4 linked regions of the Arabidopsis thaliana genome follow. The protein of the gene in region 1 interacts with the protein of each later gene in a pairwise test. Each region holds a gene or a part of one and is shown in the gene's direction. Other genes may lie near its edges.

Region 1 (2,874 bases):
TGTTCTGCACAGGAGCAGAAAACCTATTGAAAAAAACAGAGTATAAGCTTTTAACTAGAAAGTCGTGTTAGCCGTAACAGAATAATTCAAGAAAGAAATACTGAGATAACCGAAACCAAAATACTAAACCGAACAAATAAAAAAACGAACTGAATCCCAACCAAAATTATAAAATATCTTAACCAATTTTTTCAAACCCAACCCGAATGGTGAACCAGATAACTTTTTAGGTTACTGTGTCATTGGGTTCAACCGGATTCGACCATAGATCAATTGATTAAAATTTATTTAATATTTTTAATACTTTTAGAAATTATATAGTATTATAAATATAAAAATAAAAAATAATCATACCATGTTTAACAAAATATGAAGTTTCACAATAAAAATAAAGTGATTAAAATTTTTAAATCCAACAAAAACCATAAAAAAAATACTTAGATAGTATGAGATTATCAACAAAAAAACTAATAAAACATTGCGAAAACAATATAACTAATCACCGTTGTTTCTCTCACCATTCCTAATATTTAATTCCAAAATATCAAAATCAAATGGATTTTGTTAAAACTCAAACCCGACTGATTCAGTGGATAGCATGTTAATGGTGAATTTTTTGTGTTTTTTTTTCTAGTTTTTAAACTGTTGGATGTTAACCCAAACTGGAAGTGTGTACAGGTCACAGGGTCAAACTAGACGGTTCGGGTCTAGCGTGAAAAAAATGGATTATAGAATCTTTAAACGAAACGAACGAAAAGGTAACCGAATGTGTACCCGAAATATCCAAAAACAAAAGGAGTATCCGAAACAATTCAAGAAGGTGTTTAAGACCTTAGTTCTGTTTAATTATGTCCTAATTATGTTATTTGGTTTGGAGAGCATTCTAGTACACGCTATCCTCTGTTTACGTACTTAGCTTTTACATGTTAATCTATACACCAATCAAGGCAGTCTCAGGATAAACAATCATTATCCTAAATAATTACGTATAGACTTTGCTTTGTTTTTTAGTTCGGTTAATATTTGTTTTTAAAATCGTTATAGTTAATTATGTAATATGTTTTAGGTGTTTTAAAGCAAAACAATTTCTTTTAAAACCCATAATTGGCTTTCATTATATTTTTCAGTCACAGTCTACTTTATTAAAGTAAAGTTTCTTCTAGTTAAGTTTATCTCTAATTAAAAGGTTAAGGGTAAAGGTTCTTTTAAACCAATGCTAAATCGTTTGGTGATTCTTAATATTATTATTTCTATTTAATAAATATTTTGTGCAGTTGAGTGAAACAAATTTTGTCATAAGGCATCGGTACCTGCTTTTTTCAAGAAAATGGGATGCTTTGACTAGTATGATATATAATTGTGTTTTATATATCAATCATGTTATATTTACTCTTGGTTAAGATTATTTTTTATTGTTAATGATATCATTGATACAATGATACTTAAGAAAAACTAAAAATGTTCCAAATGTATTCTATAACCAATTATCATTTGAGCTACATTGTTCTCTATCTAATCAAATCAAAATCATAATATTAAGCTATTATGGTATATAGGAAATATTTGAACTCAATCCTTTTTTTTTGTGCGGTTCAAGCTTCTAAAGAGGTCTCAAAATTTGTGTGCAGTCTTTCTTCACACTTTCACTCACCTTTTGTTCCTACACATAATTCTCTTTGCTTTTAATTATATAATACTAACTTGATACAACTAGCCATATCACAATTTCCTAACTCCCAAGAACAAAAGAAAACTCCTTTCTTCCATTCTTGGACTTTTCTCTCACTTTTGGTCTCTTGGATATGAATCTCCTACTATTTTTTCTTCTCTCCACCGTTTCAGTTTTCGCCGTTGTCTCTGGCACGGTGGAGGAGACGGCCCGTGATGTTATTGATGCATTGGCTCATGCCCCTTTTGAAGAATGGTCATCGGTTTTCATAGAAACCAATGACCGGATCCGCGCCGAGGTTATCCCATCTACCCTCTTCATCCCAAACTCTTCCGCCAACGGGAGCGATGATAGACATAAGTTGGCTTCATACCACATTGTTCCTCAGAGGCTTGAGTTTGCAGATCTTCTCTTGAAGCCAAGTAGATCGAGACTACCGACTCTTCTCAACGGCTCCTCCATTCTGGTAACCAACAATTCTGCTACTTCTTTTTCTATCGACGGCGTTCTCATCATCGAACTTGACATCTACGTGGATTCCTTCATAGCCATCCATCGTATTGCATATCCGCTTGATTACACAACTTACGGCGGCGGCTCTAAGCTTATATCGAAATGGCCGCTCTTCACCTTTATGCTTGTTACGGTTGTGTGGTTCATTTAATCATAGTGATATGAATAGATTGTGCTCATTTCACCTTATGATATATATATGAAAAGACTGAAGTCCCTAATCTATAATATGAAAGTCTTTTAAATGAACACTTAAACCTTTTTTTCTTGTACTCATGACTTGGTCATTTTTAGTAACGTACAACTTTTTATTTTTGTTTTTTAAACACGTAGACTGCATACATTGAGAGGTTTAACGATGAACATATATGCTCTCTTGTTTTTTACTCATTAAAATGCCGACTTCTCTATACACACAACACACGGAGATAGATACTTCTCATCATTTGAGTCATTATCAATATAAATAACTGAGACATCTTTCCAAAATTTACCACGACAATGAGAGGTTATCAACATATATATATATATATATATATATGAAAAGTAATATTCAAAAAAAGTAATAGATGAATCATGAATGGTCAACTAGATTTTGAGTCATTATTAATAGACGAAGAGATCTCTACAAAAAAAAACATTTACCATTCTATAATCACTAAACAAAATACCAGCTGAAATACAACAAATCT
Region 2 (4,183 bases), on another chromosome or scaffold:
GTGGATTTGTGTACAAGTGAGAAGCCATGTCAAGCACCATTTATGCAGAGCAGAGTTTATGTTTCAGCTTTTCAAATGAGTCAGAGTCACCTTTATGCGAAGCATGGTTCTGATTGGTTTAGTGACGATGACGACGTCATCATTGCGGCAAATTTTAAATTACTGTATATATATCTTATAAACTTTATAAAATATCCATAAATTATTAGACACATTTATAAACTGTAACAAAAAAAAAATCATAATCAATTTCTTTATTTAAAAAATAAAATAAAGCATTTCAATATTTTAGTAGGGAAGATATTAGTTAATATCATTAGAAAAAATAGAAAAAAAAAGGAGAAAATGCAACAAGAAGAAGAGAAAAAAAAAAAACTCTAATTCATTAATTTTTGCGGATTAACTGGATCGTTGCAGTTTTTTGCTTTATTTCGATAAATGAACAACAAAAACAAAAGTCCATAAAAAACTTAGTAGATGCATAAACTAACCATAGAGAAGTCGATAAATGTGATGCTCTATTAATACATGCGAGTACGGAGTATCTATTGAAGAGGTACAATACTACAATTAAATCACAAAGTTTACCTTAGACCAAAAAGAAAAAAACATATAGATTAGTAATATATAGATTGTTAATATAATATTGTATGTTGGTGACAAAATAAATTGCCTAAGTTTTGGTTAGAAAATAGAAATACTTTAACCAATATAAGCAGATTACCTAAGATCATTTTTGTAAAATGGAAACTAATTATTTTATGTTTTGAGAATTCTTCGTTCGTAAACAATCTTTGTACTCTTCTCAGAAAGTTGATATATTTTTAAAAATTCTTTGACTCTAATCTAATGATGTTAATTTGTACATTGTATTGTTGTGATTTCTTCGTTTATAGAATATATGGAACTCTATCTGACTACATCTACATATACAATTTTGCATGAAAACTTCTCTAGATTTTGTAATTATTTATTTTTGTACAAGTTTTCAGTGAGAACAAGACTAAGATTTGAATGGTCAAGTATTCTTCTTCTTCGTTTACAAATTGAATTTCTTAGTTTGACAACGTATGTCTTTATAATAATAATAAAAAAAAGTTAGGATATTTTTTTATTATAAATATTCATATTTAAAGTTAACACTTTAATTTCAAGGAATGTTCAATTGTTCATCCATTTTTTATTTTTATATTGGATATATAGTGGCTAAAAGCCTAACATAGCAACGCCTTTTATGCGACATATAGTTGATAATTATTGCAAGTTTCCTCCACAATTTCTTCCTAATACAAATAATTGCACAATTACAAGACTCAAGAGAAACCTTTCTATTTGTTTGTATCACATAGTCATAGTGGATAAACGTCGATCGTTAGGCAGTCAAAATTATATGTGTAACAAAAAAAAAGGTGATTCACCCTAAAGGCTAGCTAAAAGATGACGTTTTTTTTGTTCAATAATTTTTGATCCATTATGACTTTGTAATCACATTTAAATTATACAGAAAATATGTAACCATTTTCTTGTTTATTTTGCAATCAATTTTATTAGGAAGAAATTGTGGAGGAAAGTTCGAAAGAATTTTTCAAGGATACTAATATAAAGGTTTGCAAAAAAAAAAAGGGTTTGTTTAGCAGTTTATATAGAAAGTCAAATCTTCAACTAAGTTTGTTTAACTTGTCAGCATAAACAAAAAATTTGAATATGAATGTGTCTTGAGCTCTTTGAAGCTATAAAAAGATAGCATTGAACATAGCTAACATCAAAATCTGAAAACTATCAATGGCTAATACCTATAAATCGATAGCTGTATCAATAATCTTCCTACTATACTTTTCTTGTGTCTCAAGTCAACAACAAACCAAATTTCTTAACCATGGCTTTCTGGAAGCTAATCTCCTCAAGTCTGGCTCGTCCAAGATCCACCCGAGTGGCCACTTGGAGTTGACAAACACTTCGATGAGGCAAATAGGTCAAGCTTTTCATGGCTTTCCCATACCATTCTTAAACCCCAACTCCTCAAATTTGGTATCTTTCCCCACAAGCTTCGTCTTTGCCATCACTCCAGGACCTGGCGCACCAGGCCACGGCTTAGCTTTTGTCATTTCACCCTCGCTGGACTTTAGCGGGGCCTTACCAAGCAATTATCTAGGCCTATTCAATACCTCCAACAATGGAAACTCCTTGAATTGCATTCTTGCAGTTGAATTCGACACTGTGCAGGCCGTTGAGTTGAACGATATTGATGATAACCATGTTGGTATAGACCTCAACGGAGTGATCTCCATTGAGTCTACCTCCGCTGAATATTTTGATGACCGAGAGGCAAAGAACATAAGTTTGAGGCTGGCGAGTGGGAAACCAATAAGAGTCTGGATCGAATACAACGCAACTGAGACGATGCTCAATGTCACATTGGCTCCTCTAGATCGTCCGAAGCCAAAGTTGCCTCTTCTCTCTAGAAAACTAAATCTTTCTGGGATCATCTCTGAAGAAAATTATGTTGGATTCTCTGCAGCCACGGGAACTGTCACGAGCTCACATTTTGTGCTAGGCTGGAGCTTCAGCATCGAGGGGAAAGCATCAGACTTTGATATCACGAAGCTTCCCTCTCTTCCAGACCCGCTACCTCCATTGTCTCCATCCCCGAGTCCTCCGGTTTCAGTCATGAAAAATTCGAGTAACACGATGCTGATCATAATCATTGCTGCATCAGCAATATTTGGAATCTTGATCTTAAGCTTCTTAGCGGTTTGCTTTTTTCGTAGAACGGAAAACTTCACCGGAGGCGCACGGAAATTCTCCCACCAGACGATTTCCAGCGCGACGGGAGGTTTTGACAACTCTAAGCTTTTGGGAGAGGGAAACTCTGGGAGTTTTTATAAAGGGCAACTTGCTCCTACAGAGATAATTGCCGTAAAGAGAATTACTTGCAACACAAGGCAAGAAAAGACAGCCCTAATAGCCGAGATCGATGCAATCTCCAAGGTAAAACAAAGAAATCTTGTTGATCTACATGGTTACTGCAGCAAAGGAAACGAGATCTATCTTGTTTACGAGTATGTTATCAATAGAAGCCTAGACCGGTTCTTGTTCAGCAACGACCTACCAGTTCTCAAATGGGTACACCGGTTTTGTATTATAAAGGGTATTGCGTCAGCACTTCAACATCTTCACGCTGAGGTTCAAAAACCTCTCATACACGGAAATGTCAAAGCAAGTAACGTTCTTTTGGACGGAGAGCTAAACGCTCGACTAGGAGACTATGGACATGGAAGCAGACACAGCACTACGGGACACGTTGCACCAGAACTAGTCAACACGGGAAAGGCTACATGTGCCACAGATGTGTTTGAATTTGGAGTGTTAATCATGGAGATTGTTTGTGGAAGGAGAGCCATAGAGCCGACAAAGGAACCGGTAGAGATCAGTTTAGTGAACTGGGTGCTTCGAGGGGTCAAGAGCGGAAATCTCTTAAGGAGATGCGACAAAAGAATCAAGAAAAAGAATTTAGTCTCTGAAGAAGTGTTATTGGTTCTGAAAACAGGACTTCTCTGCGTGAGACGATCTCCAGAAGATAGGCCAATGATGAAGAAAGTGTTGGAGTATCTCAACGGTACAGAACATCTCCCTCATGATGACTACGTCGTCTAAAAGAGGAAATGGCTAACGATGATCTCGAAACGCCGTTGTACAAATCAAGATTGGACCCAAGATGCATAAGCATGATATGAATAATACATAGAATAACTTTTAAAAATGGAAATAAGAATTTCTCGTTTTGAGAAATTAATTTCATTAAATATTATCTTCGATTAAACAATCTTCGTACTCTTCCGAGAAAATGAATATTTTAAAATATTTGTGTTTGATTTTAAATTCTAAATGATGTTTGTTCGTCGTTTTAGGATAACTAGTATGTATTGTTAAAGAAAAGATAAGCAAATAAATAGTATTGTTGGCAGACTTTTCTAGCCCTTTCATTGTAATTTCAATTATCTTTGTTCACCAGTAGATTTTTATAGTAGCAACAAAATCTAGATTTCTATGGAATTTGGGTTCAGTATAGATTTTTTTTTTTTTTTGTTAAAGGGATTAGTTTAGATTTTGGATTGGATTCACCTGGTTAATTTAAAAGAAGGGTATATGCACTAGATGACCATGAAATCAATAATAATATAGA
Region 3 (5,773 bases), on another chromosome or scaffold:
ATGCATAATTAAAAATCAATTCATAGAAAAATTCAGTCGTACTTTCGTCAATTCATGGATTTATTTTTTGTTGTAGCTAAAACTTCAGTTGTACTACCAAAACAAGAAGAAGTTCAACGTCTTGTTGATAGTATCATGAGTTGTGAAAACTCACGTGAAAAGAAATGTAACTATGTAATAAAGTTTTTTATAGTATTAATAGAATAAAACTTGCTTAATTGGTGGTGTTATTTATATATACTTAATTAGGCAATTAGGTTTCAAGAAGAGGAAAAAAACGATGGGACGGAGGTGGTGAGTGGTGGTGGTCGGAGCAGACAAAGAAGGGTCCTACAATTTGCCTAACCGTAAAGAGCCACATTCCTTTTTCTTTTACCCCATCCCGTGAGTGAACCCCACTCTTCCTCATTCTATTATTCTCAATCTATATTTTCAAAAATAAACATAAATATACAAACTCTTTGCAGCATAAAGGAATATGTTGATAAAACGGAGCTTTGTTTATGATTTTGTTTCATTATGATATATTTTTTTTAAAACATTTACCAACAATTTCTTAGAAACATAAATTAAGAGCTAACTAGTATATCTAGTATTTCTCGAAACCCAAACTCATGTTCTTAATTTTTTATTTTTTTCTGGAATGTTAATGACTATCGGATATTTGAGTATAATTGTATGAATTTGCTTGACTGTTGCATACTTTGAATCTTTCTTTCTAGTTTACAATTGTGCAAATTAAATCAAACTCGTTTTCAGTATTTTACCTTTTAGTACTATACTTAATTATGTCATCTGTATCAGGTAATAGTTAGAGGAAAGAGGAAAATGGTGTAATATAAACAACAATTATTTGTATGTGAGTTTACGACCATCATCTAGCTTAAAGTACACACCAATGAGAATATGAACACAGTTTAGCTCAACTCATATATGATCTATCCGACATCTTTTCAATGTTTTGGGTCGCGTAGGAGTATCGGAAGCAGCTTAAGACATAGCTATTTAATAAATTGTTGGTATGTTTTATTTATAACAATTATCACAAAATCAAAAGATACTAATCTCGCTGTTTGAGGCAGACATCTGAGAAAACATGTCTTCTACCAACATTCAAGATTTGACAAATCGTTGTTTACGTATTGTTATATTGAGCATCTTACAACAAAAATTTACGTGTATTTTGAAACTCGGAAATCAATCATATCTATTGATATTAACACACAGTGTTTCCTGACTATCGTCGCAGACGAATAATAATAGTAATAATCTTCCACCTCGTGTGATTCTATAATCTTATATTCTTGACATAAATGTCGTCAAAATTTGGTATACATCAAACATGGATCGTGTTTAAAGTAATCATCAAAAATCACCACACGAGAGTAGATTCCCTATTGTCAAATATAGATCAAAGAGAAAACATGTAGGCTACAAATATAACCTAGTCCCTACGAATAAGAAAAATGTCATTATACCACAAATGATAACTGCAAAGTGTGTGTAAATTTTGATTTTAAAAGAAGGTAAAAAAATAAAAAAGATAGATTTGGAAACAATCTTTTACCTCTTTGGTATTGAACATTGTGACAGTATCAATCAGTATGGTACAGAAAAAACGTCAGAGGAAAAGAATTATCAAAAAACGTACACTCTTCATTTTCATTAAAATCTTTTTTTTTTCTTCCAAAAAACAAAAGCAGAAAAAATGTGTCAGAAAGATTTATGCAGCTTTCATTCATTCATCACTTGCACTGTCTCGTGAAGAAAATTAAACTTTTTTGTATCAGAAATTAATTACATTAAAAGAAAAGAAAAAAAAAATTCCCTCCTTTCCAAGTGCGTTTGCTTTGTGGAGTCTCTCTCTTCTCTCTCTCTGTCTGTGTGTGAAGTGAGAGGATCTTTGTTTGGTTCTGCAATCATAATTTCGTGATATACTAAAAAAAATGCAATTTCCTCTTCTCTCTTATAAGCAGAGACCCTACTACTCTTTGATCGAATTTTCCTTGCTCTCTTCTCTTTGTTCTCTCATGTTTTTTTCTCCCTAAATTTATGGGCTTTGCTCTCTCTCTAAGCCACACTCACACTCTAAAGCACTCGTCTTTCTTCTTCTTTTTCTTCAGAAACAGTTATTTTGACTTGAAAAACCAGAGCTTTAATCCTGGATTCATGGCAAAAAGAGCATTACTTTTCTTTTCCTCTCTCACTTTCTTGTTTCATTTGGCTTAAAAATTCAATGATAATTTTGTATTTGGGGGAAAGAAGAAGAAGAACAAGAGTGTGTGATTGATTCAATTCTTAAAAATGACATTTTGGTGTATGTCAATTCTTCTGATTGTTGGGTTCTTATCAAAATCTGAGCTTTGTGAAGCTCAACTAAGCGATGAAGCCACATTGGTTGCGATTAATAGAGAGCTTGGAGTTCCAGGATGGAGTAGTAATGGCACTGACTATTGTACTTGGGTTGGGCTTAAGTGTGGTGTCAACAACTCTTTTGTTGAAATGCTTGATCTCTCAGGGCTTCAGCTTAGAGGTAATGTTACTCTAATCTCTGACCTCAGAAGCTTAAAGCATCTAGATCTTTCTGGTAACAACTTCAATGGACGAATTCCTACTTCTTTTGGCAACTTGTCTGAGCTTGAGTTTCTTGATTTGTCTCTGAATCGTTTTGTTGGAGCGATTCCGGTTGAGTTTGGTAAGCTTAGAGGGCTTAGAGCATTCAACATTTCTAATAACTTGCTTGTTGGAGAGATACCTGATGAGCTTAAGGTTCTAGAGAGGTTAGAGGAGTTTCAGGTCTCTGGAAATGGGTTAAATGGTTCTATACCTCACTGGGTAGGGAATCTGAGCAGTCTCAGGGTGTTTACAGCTTATGAGAATGATTTGGTGGGTGAGATACCGAATGGGTTAGGTTTGGTTTCTGAGTTGGAATTGTTGAATCTTCACTCAAACCAACTTGAGGGGAAGATTCCAAAAGGGATTTTTGAGAAAGGGAAGCTTAAAGTTTTGGTCTTGACACAGAATAGATTGACCGGTGAACTCCCTGAAGCAGTAGGAATCTGCAGCGGCCTCTCGAGCATTAGAATTGGGAATAACGAGCTTGTGGGAGTCATTCCGAGGACAATCGGGAACATTAGTGGACTTACTTACTTTGAAGCAGACAAGAACAATCTTTCAGGTGAGATTGTTGCAGAGTTCTCCAAGTGTTCTAATCTCACTCTGCTGAATCTGGCAGCTAATGGGTTCGCTGGAACCATTCCAACAGAGCTTGGTCAGCTCATTAATCTTCAAGAACTGATTCTCTCAGGTAATAGTCTCTTTGGGGAGATCCCTAAGTCGTTTCTTGGAAGTGGAAACCTAAACAAGCTTGATTTGAGTAACAACAGACTCAACGGAACCATCCCAAAGGAACTCTGCAGCATGCCAAGGCTACAGTATTTACTTCTTGATCAAAATTCCATAAGAGGAGACATACCTCATGAGATTGGAAACTGTGTGAAGCTACTTCAGCTCCAACTGGGTCGAAATTACTTGACGGGAACCATTCCTCCTGAGATTGGTCGCATGAGGAATTTGCAGATAGCACTCAACTTAAGTTTCAACCATCTTCATGGATCATTGCCTCCCGAGTTAGGAAAACTCGACAAGCTCGTGTCATTGGATGTCTCTAACAATTTGCTCACAGGATCCATACCGCCACTACTAAAAGGTATGATGAGTTTGATCGAGGTTAATTTCTCAAACAACCTTTTGAATGGTCCAGTGCCAGTCTTTGTTCCCTTTCAAAAGTCTCCAAATTCGAGCTTTTTGGGAAACAAAGAGCTTTGTGGAGCACCATTGAGCTCTTCTTGTGGATATTCTGAAGATCTTGACCATTTGAGATATAATCACAGAGTCTCCTACAGAATTGTGCTCGCAGTGATTGGTTCTGGTGTAGCTGTCTTTGTATCAGTCACTGTGGTTGTTCTTCTCTTCATGATGAGGGAGAAACAAGAGAAAGCAGCGGCTAAAAATGTTGATGTTGAAGAAAATGTTGAGGATGAGCAACCAGCAATTATCGCGGGAAATGTCTTCCTTGAAAATCTTAAACAAGGAATTGATCTTGATGCAGTTGTGAAAGCAACTATGAAGGAGTCAAATAAACTCAGTACGGGAACTTTCAGTTCAGTTTATAAAGCCGTTATGCCTTCGGGGATGATTGTTTCGGTGAAGAAACTCAAGTCTATGGATAGAGCCATATCTCATCATCAGAACAAGATGATCAGAGAACTCGAAAGACTCAGCAAACTTTGCCATGACCATTTGGTTAGACCGATAGGGTTTGTTATATACGAAGACGTTGCTCTCTTGTTGCATCAGCATTTACCTAATGGTAACTTAACTCAGCTGATTCATGAGTCCACCAAGAAACCAGAGTACCAACCTGACTGGCCAATGAGACTGTCCATAGCTGTTGGAGCAGCAGAAGGTTTAGCATTTCTCCACCAAGTCGCCATCATTCACCTCGACGTTTCCTCTAGCAACGTCTTGCTAGACTCTGGTTACAAAGCCGTGCTTGGGGAAATCGAAATATCGAAACTTCTAGATCCCTCTAGAGGCACCGCGAGTATTAGCTCAGTTGCAGGCTCTTTTGGCTACATTCCACCAGGTATAAAGTCTTAATTTTGTTACCAGTAACTTTATACAAAATCCAACACTTTCCCTTGGTTTATTTCTGCAGAGTATGCATACACAATGCAAGTTACAGCTCCGGGGAATGTTTACAGTTATGGAGTTGTGTTGCTTGAGATTCTAACCTCAAGAGCGCCGGTGGAGGAAGAGTTTGGTGAAGGAGTAGATTTGGTGAAATGGGTCCATGGAGCTTCAGCGAGAGGAGAAACACCGGAACAGATACTCGATGCCAAGCTTAGCACCGTGTCTTTTGCTTGGAGGAGAGAGATGCTTGCAGCTCTGAAAGTTGCATTGCTTTGCACAGACATCACACCTGCAAAAAGGCCAAAGATGAAGAAAGTAGTTGAAATGCTTCAAGAGGTTAAGCAAATCAAATGAGCAAATGAATATATAGTTTCCTCTTGTGACATTCATATACAAAAGAAAACGCATTCCTATATATGCGAGCTTCTCCTCTGTGTATTATATAGGTTTTTATGATAAAATTGATCCGCTTATGGTTGATTTACTTATCCAATGACACAAATTATAAATTAGATCATAGAAGAACCAATGTACATCTTGAGGGAAACTGTTCAACAAAGCATCTGTTGTAGAATCTTAAGATTACAATACCATGTGAAAACCAGATGGCCTCTTTCAATTTTTTACACATCACACCAAAAAGAAACAAGAATTGGACAAAAGAATAAGTGAAAAGAGAAGATAGGAGTAAAAACCTAGGAGGAATGATCTAATTATAGCACGACGGAGATAATTCCGATTTATGATGCTAAAGAATCTATAAAAACGTAACCCAAGACTTTGAAAACCAAGCAAACCTATTTTTGTTATGTTTTGTTTGAGTTCTTGACTGGAATTCAAAGCCAAACATGGTTTGGATCCTGCCGATGATCAACAGCCAGCAGCTTTAAGGAAGTTGTCGTAAGGGCTTGAGGCTGGTAGTCTAAATGCTTGTGGGTTATTTTGTAGTTCTGCATAGCACGGTGACTGAATAGTTCCCACTGGTGTTCTTGGCGATTTCATGTCGAATTCTTTCGACAGTAAAGGGACTTCGACCTAAACAAATTTCAGTAATCAATACAAAAATGGTTAAACAGTT
Region 4 (2,779 bases), on another chromosome or scaffold:
CCAGGAGACCCTCTAGACAAAGCCATCCAGTTGCGCCCACTTGAGCCCGCTCCTATTCAGCATCTAGCTCGGGAATTCATGGTCAAGACCCGCCGTAGAAAGGTATTATGATTTCCTTTGTTTCAATGCACATCCCAAAACTTAGTGGGTTTCATGCGGTTAAAGATACGAATGAAACCATAAACTGATTTGTTACTCTAGTGTTTGGTTAAATGACCCCAGTAAACCCTCACAAACCAAAGGATCCCCGAAACTACTGTTTACAAACCCGGCCCTTGCTAATTACTCTTTAACCAAGTAACACCAGCTATAATTTGCTGGATACATCCTAGGCTAGTTATATTGTATGACTCGTTGGGTGTTTGGATCATCAGTTTCAGACTCTCACGATATGTATAATTTGTTGGTTATGCAGGGAATGAGCGAAGACGTCAGCGGAAATAAATTCTTTGATGAAGCGATGATGGTAGAGCTTGCCCAGCAAACAGGCGATCTCCATCTGCAGATGATTTGATGATCTCTGCACTTTTTTCATATAAATCGTGATTCAGGACTAGTAGTAGTATCTTCTCTTCTCTATATATGTGAAAGGAGAACAAGAAAATGTGGATCAGTTTTGTAATTGATGTGTCAAATTTACGTTGTAAGTTGAGAGATTTTAATGAACTCAACAGTCCACATGGTCACACTCACACATGACTCGCAAATAGTTGACAGGAAATGTTCACAAATTTTTGTAAAATTGTAAACTACTATTGGATTATGGGAAACTGAACTAGGTTATGACACTATCATTTATAAGATGATCTCATAGTTTGTTGTCTATATGATTAGTAATTATACATATGATACAGAGAACGTACGATCCAGATCCTATTTCCGCAAAGAGTTTTCTGCATAACTAAGATTTGATTCTTCAAAAATGCTAAATTTAAAGATAAACCAGGTCAATGGCACAAACCTATCTAGATATAAGTAAGTTTTTCTTCATAATTTAATTTAGTGCACACAGACGACTTATTTTACTCCAATGAAAATCGGTTAATTCGTCAAACGTCACTACTTGTCTCAAAGATTTGTTGTGCTTTACTATTTTCGTCTATTTCATGCTTCCATAATCAGCTTTTTACGTTGACGTGCTCTTTACAAATCGAAGTGGACGTGGCGGCAACCACTTATACTTATTATACATAGAATAAAGCTACAAAATATATAGTTAAGGCCCTGGTGGATTAATATATACATCGTTTAAGGTTTTAGATTGGTCTCCTCCACCTTATTTTATGTGCATTGCCAACTCTGAAAACGTCATGCCTTATCTTCATTGGTTATATCCATTTGGCTCCATCAACCAAACGACGATAATGATTTTCCACATATCCTATATACATTTGGGTTCGGTAGAATTACTACAATACTCAAATTGCTTTTAATTTATGTTTTAGTTTATGGAATATGAATTGTGAGTTTTTTAAAAAATAATCTCCCAATTAAATATTATTAGCTTTTAAGTTTCTATTTCAAGTGAAATCAGTTAGCTATGCATGTCATTCAATATAGACATAATTTTGTTTTCTTCCATTCGTTTTACAATTTTTAACTAACAGAAATTATACATTACGTCACTTACTACGTTCCCACTAAAAATAGAGGCAAATGCAATCAAGTGATGACGACCTTTCAAAAATAAATATTAAGAGATATATAAGAAGGGACTAGCTAGGTAGATATGACTAGATTCCAACTTAATTAACGTATTTAATTTCTGCATAGATGGACGTTAATTAGGACTTTAGCTTCTCTATAAATACCGTAGCTATTGAGCTTATATATGGAGATCACCCCCTTAAAATCTTCAAAGACTATATATCTCACCTTTAAGAACTAAGAGGAAGTTACATATATATGGCAAGTCTCAAGTTATGGGTTTGTTTGGTCCTGCTTCTAGTACTCGAATTGACATCGGTGCACGAATGTCGACCATTGGTTGCCGAAGAGAGATTTTCTGGTTCAAGTCGTTTGAAAAAGATAAGACGTGAACTTTTTGAGAGGTTAAAAGAGATGAAGGGGAGATCAGAAGGCGAAGAGACGATCCTTGGAAATACTCTTGACTCAAAGCGGCTTAGTCCCGGTGGTCCTGACCCGAGGCATCACTGACACTGACCATAGAAGAATGCAAAAAAAAATGTGTAATGTAACATTTTTGGGAGAGTTTTAATATGATATTACAACTTTTTAACTTATAATGTAATATTCTTATGCTGTAGTTAATTTTCTGTCTTTCCACTAATGAAGCATTTCTGTTTACATGATCTCGTTTTTATGTAGTTCCTGCATGCATCTTTCTTTAGCAAATATGTTCTATTTAAAAAAGCAGCATGTTATGCTTATTTTGAGAGCTATTCCCATTTTCACTAAATATGAGTTCATACTATTCAAGTTAATTAAAAAACACCATTTAGCTTATTTCTTATATCTAAAATTCACAATTATAACTAACAAATAATTACATAGATATACTATATAACATATATCAACATCACTTAGTTTGTATTTGAAATAATCAATCTATATACTAAAAAAAGAAAAACATTACCTTTATAACAAAAAATGAGTGAAACTTTAATGGAATTTTTCACCAGCAGAAATATAGTGAATCTAAAAGCATTCAAAATTTTCTGAAGCAAGATTTTTTTTTTTCAATTGCTTGTCAGCATCACATATTTGTCAGAAATAATGAATAAACTTGACAAAAAATCTTGCTTTAGAAAATATACAA

The links.
Region 2: the proteins of AT4G12950 (region 1) and AT2G29250 interact in a protein complementation assay, tested with the Arabidopsis thaliana proteins (one large-scale study listed by BioGRID).
Region 3: the proteins of AT4G12950 (region 1) and AT2G41820 interact in a protein complementation assay, tested with the Arabidopsis thaliana proteins (one large-scale study listed by BioGRID).
Region 4: the proteins of AT4G12950 (region 1) and CLE3 interact in a protein complementation assay, tested with the Arabidopsis thaliana proteins (one large-scale study listed by BioGRID).

The regions. Positions count from the first base shown.
Region 1 is NC_003075.7:7,574,840-7,577,713, forward strand, and holds AT4G12950 (Fasciclin-like arabinogalactan family protein), read left to right. Parts: upstream 1-1,802; coding exon 1,803-2,333; downstream 2,334-2,874.
Region 2 is NC_003071.7:12,578,380-12,582,562, reverse strand, and holds AT2G29250 (Concanavalin A-like lectin protein kinase family protein), read left to right. Parts: upstream 1-1,782; coding exon 1,783-3,654; downstream 3,655-4,183. Other genes in the region: AT2G29260 (NAD(P)-binding Rossmann-fold superfamily protein), read right to left, coding at 1-40.
Region 3 is NC_003071.7:17,444,866-17,450,638, forward strand, and holds AT2G41820 (Leucine-rich repeat protein kinase family protein), read left to right. Parts: upstream 1-1,878; 5' UTR 1,879-2,304; coding exon 2,305-4,648; intron 4,649-4,720; coding exon 4,721-5,049; 3' UTR 5,050-5,243; downstream 5,244-5,773. Other genes in the region: AT2G41830 (Uncharacterized protein), read right to left, coding at 5,566-5,730. UniProt on the Arabidopsis thaliana protein: Leucine-rich repeat receptor-like protein kinase that may play a role in vascular tissues development.
Region 4 is NC_003070.9:1,904,070-1,906,848, forward strand, and holds CLE3 (CLAVATA3/ESR-RELATED 3), read left to right. Parts: upstream 1-1,848; 5' UTR 1,849-1,905; coding exon 1,906-2,157; 3' UTR 2,158-2,229; downstream 2,230-2,779. Other genes in the region: MEE5 (Ribosomal protein S5/Elongation factor G/III/V family protein), read left to right, coding at 1-102, 416-514.